Linked DNA regions of Xenopus tropicalis. The protein of the gene in region 1 purifies or fractionates together with the protein of each later gene. This does not show direct contact. Links are inferred from orthologs where the notes say so. Each region holds a gene or a part of one and is shown in the gene's direction. Other genes may lie near its edges. The genes, in order: usp36, dhx33 and gnl2.

Region 1 (3,657 bases):
ACTTTTTTTTCCCTCTGCCAACACGTCATCTAGATTTAATTAGCTCCTACGGCAAATTTAACTTTGTGTTTGTGTGTGCATGGTAGGGACCTTTTAGTTTGTAAACTTGACCATGGCAGGAACTAATATAAATAATGGCAGTCTCTGTAATTAGCTGTTCATAAAGTTCAGAGCTTTAGAGAAAAAGAATAATAATAAAATCAGTGGCATCAGTAAAAGACAAGGGTGGACAATTTTATTTTCTCTTCTGATTCATGTTACTGCCTTCTGCCTAAATCTTTTTTGCAGATGTTGACCTCTCTACTGGAAGGTCAGATGGGGTTCCTGTTCCTCAAAAAATTCTGTTCCCAGCTGACAAGTTGTCCATGAAATGGGACCGAATCTCCAGGGTCGGGGCAGGACTTCAAAATCTAGGAAATACGTGCTTCCTCAATGCAACAGTTCAGTGTCTTACCTACACTCCTCCTCTTGCTAACTACTTGTTGTCTAAGGAGCACAGCCGCAACTGTAAGCTTTTATTGGAAATCTCTAGAGTAACTTGGATAAATTTAGTATATTCACATTTAAACGTTTATAACTTTTTACCTGTAGGTCAGCAAAGTGGATTCTGTATGCTCTGCATCATGCAAAACCACCTCATTCAAGTGTTTGCAAACAGTGGAAATAATGTAAAGCCAGTTTCTTTCATTCGTGACTTGAAAAGTAAGTGTGAATTTGATGTTTACTCATTAGCTGCATAGTGTTTCATGCTTCTATTTCTCTGATTAAAAAATGTAGTTGTATACTGTTGCTTTTTATTTTAAAGAGGTCTAACTATAATGCTGTTTGAAAGGAACCATGTATGGGAAAAAATGTCCTGCGCTTGACAAAAACAAACCATTTTGTCACTCTTCAAGCTGTCACTCCTACATTGAACCTTATCCATGTGTACGCACTGGATTTTGGGAGTTGGAGTTCCTTTTGCTTTTCCAGTATAAATGTGCACCATCCACCCTATCTTCACCTAGTAACTATCTGGTCTGAAGATTGAGAAGAATTCCTTATGCCTGCTAGCAGTCACTCTGCCTTTAGCACATTTCTCCTGATTGGCTCAGTTAGGTCGTAGACTGCTGCACTGTTTGCTTCTCCTGCTGATGTATATCCTTGTCTCTCTGCCTTCATTGTACATTTCCTGTTTGATGGTCGGCAGAGGGCTACTTTATGGTATGCTTTTCAGTTCCAAAAGAGGGGTGGAAACCTATAAAAAGCTCACCTATTCTGAATAGGGAAATGCAGAAGAATCTTTGTTCCATTTGTAAGTGATACATTCTGGAAGCTAAAGTAAGGGAATTGGGGGGATTTGAGACAGAGGTGCAGGAAAATGGTCAGTTCAATCAGGAGCAAGACATTTATTCCAATTTGTGGTTCCCTTTTAAATGCATGAATCGGATATGTGACTTTTTATTTCTAGCAGACATTGCTCAGACATTGTCATTCACATTTTTAACATTAGTCCTGCTAAATAGACATTTGGCATTCATGCTTGGTTTTCTGATCTGTATTTCAGGAATCTCCATAAACCTAAACATATTTGATATTAAACGTTAAAGAGACCTAGAGCTTTCCAAACCAATTGTATGTTTGCACAAATATTAAATATATTTGTGATATGTTACTCTATTACAATAAATAGGTGGTGTGTGTTTTTATCCTCAAGAAGTATATAGTGTCCACAAATTATTTAATGATCATAAAAGCATTTAGTGGAGCCATTGTTTGTGCTTCTTAACTTTACGTGAAAAAACATTTATTGCTTTTTTTAATTACACCTCTCACCTTTGGCAAAATCCAGAAATTGCACGTCATTTTCGATTTGGGAGCCAGGAGGATGCTCATGAGTTTCTGCGCTACACTATTGATGCCATGCAGAAGGCCTGTCTTAATGGATATGCAAGGTTTGTCTGCATTTGATTCTTCAGTCCGTTAGGGCATTTGACATTAAAGAATCTATTCTAGAATGGCTAAAATGGGCAATTATGTGACTATTTATGAAATTTCATGGTTTCATACACTTTTTTTCTTTTAAATGTGTCATGATGTTATGTTTGGCAAGAAAGAAAGTACTAGTTATTCAAAAAAATTTCAAGATCTGAAGAACAGATTTATGAGTAGTAATCAGCTTGTGTTTGTGAAGGACAAGACAAATGTAATTGCTTTTCATGATAAAGCAAGTGGAAACTTGAACAGAGGATTTGGCGTAGATGTGATCAATTTGTTTTTTAATTTTTAGGTATTCAAAGCAATATCTTATTCCATAAGTGTAAAGTAAAAGTGAACCATAGAGAGAACAAAATTAAAAAAAAAAAAATACCCATGGCCATTATCTTTGGCCATATGTTTGTGAAAAATCAAATGCTATTTAAACGGCTATTGTTTTGGATGGCTGCAACTTGTTTCCTGGCCTTCAAGTCTAGCGTGGAACAATCATTGGATTTTTATATAGTTGATAATATAAACTTAAATTTTAAACCAAGAAATCTGTCTTATACAATACTTCCCACTGCCTCCTATATTTGTCAATATACATTAAAAAAAATAAATAACATTGGAATATATATATTGTTCCTCTACCTAGACTGGATCGGCATAGCCAGGCAACTTCCTTGGTGCATCAGATATTTGGGGGCTATTTGCGGTCCCGTGGTAAGTATGGAGCTTCGTATTTCTCAGGTTTAAAGACACTGGGGGGGCTAATTATGAAAAATAGAGTTTGCTTTTTCCTCCATCGATTTGAGAAAAACTCAAATACTCACTGGAGTATTTTTTTTGAGACCTCGAATTGTCGGGATATATTGAAGATGATAAAACCAACAAAACATTGCCACAGAAAACTCTGCAAATAAAAGTTGGCCAGGTTCTGTAGCAGTCTATAGGAATAGTCTCAAAATAATGTTATTTTAACACATTGGAGTTTTTTTAGCCTCATTAAAATGAATGGAAGTATGTGAGCCAGCATGCAAATTTTTTCCCTCAAATTTTGAGAAATCTGTATTCTGTATTAATTTTTAAGGCATTTTATTTACATATTTTGGCTCAGGTTTAGTTGGATGAGAAAACGTAATTTTTATGCTTTGTCATGCGAAAAGTTATGGGCGAGATTCAGTTTTTAGAGAGAACATCTCTCCTAATTCATAAATTAGGTGTATCCTAACAGCATTGCAATGAAAGTTGGTAAAGGCTACAAATTACCCCAAAAAAGGATTAATGTTAAATGAGGTTAAGACCACAAACAAGTGAAAGAAAAAAAACACCCAGATTCACTATTGAGATTCAGGGTACAATTATTTTTATTTTTTCCCGTAAGGACCTATGTTTGTTTTTAAAAGTGCTATGCCAAATACTAATTATTTTTCTTTTTCTTTCAGTGACATGCTCTGTTTGTAAGAATGTATCTGACACTTACGATCCCTATCTGGACATTGCTTTGGAGATACGGGTACGCCTCTGTAATAATTTCTGTTAATGCTAAAACCACACATTGGTTTTTAAATCTGGTTAAATCATCTCCTATTTATTGAACAGCAAGACCTTATACTAAAAGCAGTCTACCATTAATTTCAGTGTGTGTTTGTAATCTGAATTTAGGTTAGAAAGATTGGTTAAGTTCCAGAAAATAGT
Region 2 (3,757 bases), on another chromosome or scaffold:
TAAAATTTGCCCATTGTCCAATCATTAGCAGGATACGGCAGGCAGCTACCAGATTGTCTAGCTTCATGTAGACGATATAAGTTGAAACGGTTGTTTTCCATGATGGACTAATCAATTTTTAAATGATCGTTTCAGGATAAGCTTGGTCCAAAAGAGGCCCCCTATTGAAAACAGATTTCACGAGATGGTTCTTTAACTTCCCATGGTGCCATAGAAACCTGACATTATTAATGATTTAACAATTAAATGTTCATTTTTACTAAATGTAACTTTAGCAGAAAGCAAATAGAAAAAAAAAGCTTCTTTAGGGCTCTGGCACACGGGGGAGATTAGTCGCCTTGCGAGGCTGTTTCAGCGATTTGCCGAAATCGCACCGCCGCGTGTGCCATCCCACCGGCGACTTACATGTTCGCCGGTGAGATGGCAGGGGAAGGCAACTCGGGGAGATTAGTCGCCCATGAACAGGGAGTTTTGTCGCGGGCGACTAATCTCCCCGTGTGCCAGAGCCCTTAAAGAGGCAGTTCACCTTTAAAAGAACTTTTAGTATGTTATAGAATGGGTAATTCTAAGCAACTTTTCAATTGGTCTTCATTATTTATGCTTTTTTTTCAATTATTTGCCTTCTTCTTCTAACTAGAGCTTTCAAATGGGGGTCCCTGACCTCGGCAGCCAAAATACAATTTTTTTTTAAAGGCACCACTTTTACTGTTATTGAAACATTTAATAACTTTATTTCCTATTCTGGTCCTCTCCTATTCATATTCCAGTCTTTGAAACCACTCCCTGCCTGATGAGGTAATTTAGACCCTTACCAACCAGATAACTGCAGAAACTCCACACTAGACAGCTGCTGAACAAAAAATTGAAATAACTAAAAACCTACAAATAGAAAATGAAGACCAATTGCAAATTGTCTCAGAATATTACTCCCTATACCATACTGCGAAGTTATTTGTATGATGTCACCATACAGTTCATCTAGTGTAAACATGACCACTGAATGAAAAGCAGAAGGGCTGCCCTACGTGTGAAGCAGTACCTATAAGGCACTTCCGGTATTGCTTCTTCTCCTACAGGAAGCACGTGTATCAGAGGACAGCTATGACGTCTCTTTCGTGCGCCAGGAACATGCTGGGCTACTGAAGCGCTTACGGTTCTAGAAGAGTTCGGATTACCGGCGGGTAATATGAATCATCATGGCCACAAACAGCCCCCGGCTAAAAAGTTTAAGCCGGGCTCCCCTCCGGTCAAACCCAAAATGCAGGCGGCGATTCATTGTGGCCCTAAGAAAATGACGGTGGAGGAACAGCGCCGGAGTCTCCCTATCTACCTGGCCCGGTCTCAGATCATTGCGCAGCTTCGGAAGCTGGACAGTGTAGTGATCATAGGTGTGTGATGCTAGTAGTGTTCAGAGCTGCAGTGAGCCAAGGCAGCCTGGGAATGTGATCATATATTTAATATGGGGCAAAAATAAATAATTGAGCCATCGTTAGTTAAGTGGGCTTCTCAGCGTACCAGTCTATAGAGAAGGTTTTTCTACTTTCCGGGTTCTAATCCACTTCCCCATTTGCGTCCCAAAATGCAGTTGGCCTCCCTGAATTCCTAAAGAGGTTACACGCCTTTTAAATCATCCCTAGGGTAGTTTCAGGGGTATTCCAAACATCTGGGGCTAATCTATGAACACATTTGTATCTGGGCAGTAACCTATGGAAACCAATGAAATATCATTCATATTTGTATCTACAGCTGCCTGTAGAATCACAGTTTCTTTCAAAATAAGCCCCCCTAGTATGTCCATAAACTTTATAAGTCTGGTTCTCATGCTAAACCTGTTACTTTGGATCTCCTATGAAGGTGTTTTATAGCAGTATATATTTTAGCATGTAACTAAAGGCTGTTGGGAGATAGATGTAGTTGTAGTTTAAGGGTAGCAGGTGGGTGATCATATGACAGCTTTTATCTAGAGCTTCTCTCATTGCTATGGATAGACCTAGATTAAACAAAACTATATATATATGTCCTGATTATAATGAGTTGTCCCTTTTACAATAATCATTGTCTGTTAGTCAGTGGGTTTACTACATGAGACACTTATGGAAGTTATTTGTGGTTGTTTCCGCAATTGGTATTGTTTGAATCTTAAAGGGGACCTGTCACCCTAAAGGTGGCCATACACGAGGCGATTTCGCTCGTTGTGCAATGAACGATTATATCGACAAACGATCGTATGGCGATCGAGTTCCCATACGATATGCCATCCACGGGCAACGATAATTCGGGAAAGATTTCGTCGCATCATTATCGTAAAATACGTACGATCGTACATCTACGTACGATCGAATGTCGTTGACTTCCGCTGCTGGCAATCGTGACATGCGCAGAGAACAATCGTTGAAAGACAAATGTCTGACACTCACACCAACTGGCAGATTTTATCGTTAAACGACCAAAATTTTTAAACCTGGCCGATCGATTTTGGGGACGATAATGTCGGCTCGTTTAGTGGGCCGACGATCGTTCGTACACCACCAACTATACGATAACTTAACGATAGCATCGGATTGTTCGGGAATCGGTCGTTTGTAAGTAAAAAATCGGTCCGTGTATGGCCACCTTAAGAAATAATTCCAAATTGTTTTTCTATTGTATTTGTCAAGTAAAATAAACTTCACTTACACTGTATAAATTATTTTAATCTTATTTTCTTTAGCCTTGGAATTCACAATTGCAGGAAGTAGACAGTCGCCATTTTGTGGACACTGTTATAAGGCAAGCTTTGTATCACCCCAAAATCTTGTTTCTGTGCCTGTATGGGGGGACCTGATGCTCATACTCATGCACTGGTTACACAATTAGATGGTGAGGAGGGAGGGGGAATGTGAGGAGAGCAGCAACATCTAAGAAGTTCTGAATTGAAAGTGAAAGTAACTGTCTGCCCTGCCCCTATGCCTAAGGCATAGAGGCGGGACAGGCAATATATGATTGACAGCTGGGATTTTTAAATGCTTTTATAATGGGTTTGGATGTGTTAATAAAAAAATGAGTGGGTTTCATGTTTAATTTGAAAAGGACTTTTATTATACAGCTTTTTATGTCTGGGTGACAGGTCCACTTTAATACCATTTGCATTGATTTATTTATGAGAATATGTTGGTGTAGATACATGTTAGCTACTTATGTTTTATGATTAACATGTGTTTTAGCATATTTTATTAAGCATGTGCACTTTATGTGGTACACGTGTGGTGTAATTAACTTTTTTTTTAAAATTTGTTGCAGATTTTGCACTTGTTTTGATTGATACAATAATAGACACAGATGCATTTTTATGAAGTGCTACTTTTTATATTGATTAATTTCAATGTTACATTGTAACTTTAACACTTTGGACATAATTTTTTTTAGAAGTTTCTGCTAATATGTTACACTTTAACTACTTGTGTGCGTAGTTCACTTTGGTGTGTGGGTTCTTAAGAGATGTGATTCACTTTCTGTTTTACATCCTGACGACGTTCCCAGATGGATCGAAACGCGTTGATGTAGATGGCAAATTGATGAAACAATAAATATTTTGTACTTTCAAGGACAAATGCTGTGAATGCTTTGCATTTATAAAATTGGTCCTAGCCATGGAATTAGCCTGATATTGGGGAAAAAGATCTGCTCTTTTGGCAACCTTGCCAAACCAGTGTATCTTAACGTTTATGGCCACCTTTTTGTTCACTTTATTGGCACTTACAACAACCAACTTTTAGAT
Region 3 (3,657 bases), on another chromosome or scaffold:
GTCATTAAAACCCTGCAGCACCAATCATCAGTTGCCCCCGGAACTGTTGCCAGGGTGGAACCCAATATCAAATGGTTTGGTTAGTATCCCCAGACCCATTTATTTAATCATGAAGTGTATGTTTTGCTTACAGAAATAAGCTCTGTCCAGTTCTGTTTCATTTATACCATGTTTCTTATATTCACTTAAATATAGTTTGTGCATTGTAAAGCCCACCGAACAGTTATGCTTTACAAGAAGTTGGCAGTATTTGACATTAGACTAAGAATTATATACAGCTGATATTTAAGCAGTTGTCCATAGAGATCTTTACTTTCATCGCACAGGTATCCCATAAGTGGTCTTTCCAGGTTACAACTACCACCTTTTTGTTTGTCCATTTTTACGAAACTGTTAAATGTCTTATAAGAATAACATTCTATGTGCCAAATATGAAAAAATGTAAGAGGGTTATATTTATGATCATTTATTTATACCACCATTTAATCTATATATATTTCAGCACAATTATTATTCACGATAAATGGAGTGTTGGTCCTTCATTCGTTTATATATTCGCTTTACTTGTTTGTACTCAGCGCAGATGCTGTCAATTTGCTTGACTTTCCCAATATTTTTTGAATAGGGAACACCCGTGTTGTTAAGCAGTCGTCTTTGCAAAAATTCCAGGACGAAATGGATGCTGTAATGAAAGATCCATACAGAGTGGTGATGAAACAGAGCAAGCTGCCTATGTCTCTTCTGCATGATCGTGTAAAACCTCATGTAAGTCTGTCTTAAGGTTTTAATGTTTGCTACTAAACATAAACAGCGTGTGTGATTTTTCAGGCATATTTGCAAAATATAAAAAATTTAGCAGAAACAATCTAATGCAGACCAGATTTCTCCCACTGAGCTGCTTTTTGGACTATTCAGCTACTGAATGTATGTATGTGTTTAAAGCATTGTACTTACTTCTAGGCTTGAATTGTGTATTACTGAATGGCATCCCCCATGTAACGTTATTGATACTGCTTCCTTGATGATGTAGTTGGTGATAATTGGAACATAACTTTCCCGTACTTGCTTCTATTTTTTTATTTGTGTAAAGGTGGTCATACATGGGCTCATAAAAGCTGCAGACTAACAGTCGGCAGCTTATCAGGCCATATATGGGGCCCTCAGATGTGCCTGCTTGCTACTTTCCTTAGCTTTGGCTATACTTTAGGCAAGAGTTGCAATGGCAGTTAACCTGATTAATGTGGCCTATAGGGTATAGCGTGCTTGAGCATAAACAGTGACCTCAAAACATTTTCTGGCTCTGAGTTTATAGGCTAAGCTTTTCTGAATCATTGGTGTTATAACTGTTGCAATAAGGGACTAGTAAAAAAAAAAAAAAAAAAAAAATAGTTTTCCCATATGTATAATTTTTCTAATTTGTCAGATTTATCAAAGTTTGGGGAAAATGTTCTTTATTTTTACATTTTATCCCCAGTTTTTTATAGTATCTTTTTTCCTGGGTGAAAACACATGAAAAAATGTATTGAACTGCAAGGCTTTTCTATGAACTTATGTACAATGTGAAAACTGTTTCATGACTTTTCACCATGTTTGAGCATATAACATTGCACCTGTCACAAAAACAAAGCCCAGCTCCAACCATGCTGCAGTGTCATAATTCTCCCCACTCCGTGAGGAACAGGTAGCTTCACTTCTCTTTACCACACACCCAGCCAGCTACACTTTTGATTTAATAGCTTCCAATGTATCCGTTCACTACCATCTGCCACCCAGCACTTCTCTCTCTCCTCCAGTCTTTTTGTCCCCACCAGGATATTCCCTTCTGATTTAAAAGGGGTGGTTAACTTTTAGTATGTTATAGAATGGCCAAGTCTAACCAACTTTTCAATTGGTCTTTATTATTTATTTCTTACAGTTTTTTAATTATTTGCTGCCGCCTTCCAATTTTTTGCAGTTTTTAAATGGGGGTCACTGACCCCAGCAGCCAAAAAAAACTATTGCTCTGTGAGGCTGCAGTGTTACTGTTACTTTCAGGCCCTCTTCTATTCTTATAACTGTCTCTCATCCAACTCCCTAGTTGCTAGGCTAACTTGGACCCTAGCAACCAAATAGCTGCTGAAGCTCCAAACTGGAGAGCTCCTGACTGAAAATAAAATAACCAAAAAAAAAAAAAACTACAATTAATAAAAAATGAAGATCAATTGCAAATTGTCTCAGAATAGCACTCGCTACATCATACCAAAAGTTAACTCAAATGTGAATAACCCATTTAAACATGCACTTATTACATCTACTTATTACATTTAGAATATGTTTACTACCTCTTAACCCACTTTTCTCTAACTTTCTACTTTGTCTACTTTAGTCTTTTTATGCACTGCATTCAACTGAAACTTACAAAAGCATCCATTGTCCCTTTGCGAAATGTATAGGGCAGTTCTCTGTGCTAAAACTTGACCTTTCTGCTGCTTTTGTTACAGTGGATCAGTATATAGTGATACATTAAATGTCATCAACATAAAGATCGTACTGGAATCAAAATGATTTTGAATTGACCTAGAAATTAAGTGTATAGTTAGAAGAAAAGTGGTCCATGGAAAGAACCTTTAGGGACCCCAAGTCTCTAAGAAGTGGTAAGGAGGTTTTATCTAACAAGGAAAGTGTAGTCATTCGAGTTGTAGGAATGGATTGAGAGAGTGGGGGTGAGCGATTAGTTATGAAGGGATTGGATTATAGAGAATCTAGAGAATGATAATTATGGGAAAATTTCCAGAATTATTTTTTCATTGTTGATAGAACATGAAAGGAGTGTATCCACCCCCCCCCCATTCCAACCTTTGCTTAATCTGCCCCTAAGAGAAATTTACTAGCCATCACTGTTCCTTCACACAAGTTAGTCCTGGAACAAGAAATAATAGCTCTGGTATCTTAAAATCAATGCTAAAACTAGGGACCCACCAAATACATTTTTTTTTTCAAATTCAGCCAAAACTTCCATAAAAATTTGTCTGAATCCCCCCTTATCCCCCATCTTGTTTATTCTAGCAATTGAACCCTTAGCGGAACTCATCAGACAGGACCCAAATATTACAGGCCCCCAAATAGGACAATCAATGCATAAACAATGTCTTTATGCAGATGATATCCTTATGACTATAACCAAACCACTAACCTCACTACCCAACTTGATTCATCTTCTAGATGTGTTTGGGAACATTTCAGGCTTAAGCATAAACCATAGCAAATCAGAAGCTTTAAACATCACCCTACCACAACATACGGTCAAGCTACTGAAATAAAATTTTGATTTCAAATGGCAAAAGGCCACCATCCATTATTTGGGCGTTAATATCCCAAATCATGTATCTACTGTATACCAACACAATTATCCACAACTATGGAAAATGGCGAGAGAGAACTTACAATCATGGTCCAAAATGGACATATCTTGGTTTGGGAGAATCTATGCTTTTAAGATGACGCTTTTACCTAAGATACTATATTTATTTAGAACATTACCGATACCTATTCCCGACCAAGACCTTAGCAACATGCAGAGAAAAGTATTTCAATTTATCTGGGCGGATAAACACCCCAGAATTACTCGACAGACTATGGGGCTGATTTACTTACCCACGAACGGGTCGAATGGAGTCC

What was found.
Region 2: the proteins of usp36 (region 1) and dhx33 purify together in Homo sapiens (affinity purification with mass spectrometry; 5 studies listed by BioGRID and IntAct, counting the BioPlex papers as one, with this or other methods). This does not show direct contact. The link is inferred for Xenopus tropicalis from reciprocal best matches to the Homo sapiens genes USP36 and DHX33.
Region 3: the proteins of usp36 (region 1) and gnl2 purify together in Homo sapiens (affinity purification with mass spectrometry; 3 studies listed by BioGRID and IntAct, with this or other methods). This does not show direct contact. The link is inferred for Xenopus tropicalis from reciprocal best matches to the Homo sapiens genes USP36 and GNL2.

Annotation. Positions count from the first base shown.
Region 1 is NC_030686.2:31,713,323-31,716,979, forward strand, and holds part of usp36 (ubiquitin carboxyl-terminal hydrolase 36), read left to right. Parts: intron 1-288; coding exon 289-507; intron 508-591; coding exon 592-702; intron 703-1,831; coding exon 1,832-1,934; intron 1,935-2,614; coding exon 2,615-2,682; intron 2,683-3,404; coding exon 3,405-3,475; intron 3,476-3,657. UniProt on the Homo sapiens protein: Deubiquitinase essential for the regulation of nucleolar structure and function. Required for cell and organism viability.
Region 2 is NC_030678.2:101,918,504-101,922,260, forward strand, and holds the start of dhx33 (ATP-dependent RNA helicase DHX33), read left to right. Parts: upstream 1-1,048; 5' UTR 1,049-1,186; coding exon 1,187-1,388; intron 1,389-3,757. UniProt on the Homo sapiens protein: Implicated in nucleolar organization, ribosome biogenesis, protein synthesis and cytoplasmic dsRNA sensing. Stimulates RNA polymerase I transcription of the 47S precursor rRNA.
Region 3 is NC_030678.2:84,731,454-84,735,110, reverse strand, and holds part of gnl2 (nucleolar GTP-binding protein 2), read left to right. Parts: coding exon 1-79; intron 80-625; coding exon 626-765; intron 766-3,657. UniProt on the Homo sapiens protein: GTPase that associates with pre-60S ribosomal subunits in the nucleolus and is required for their nuclear export and maturation.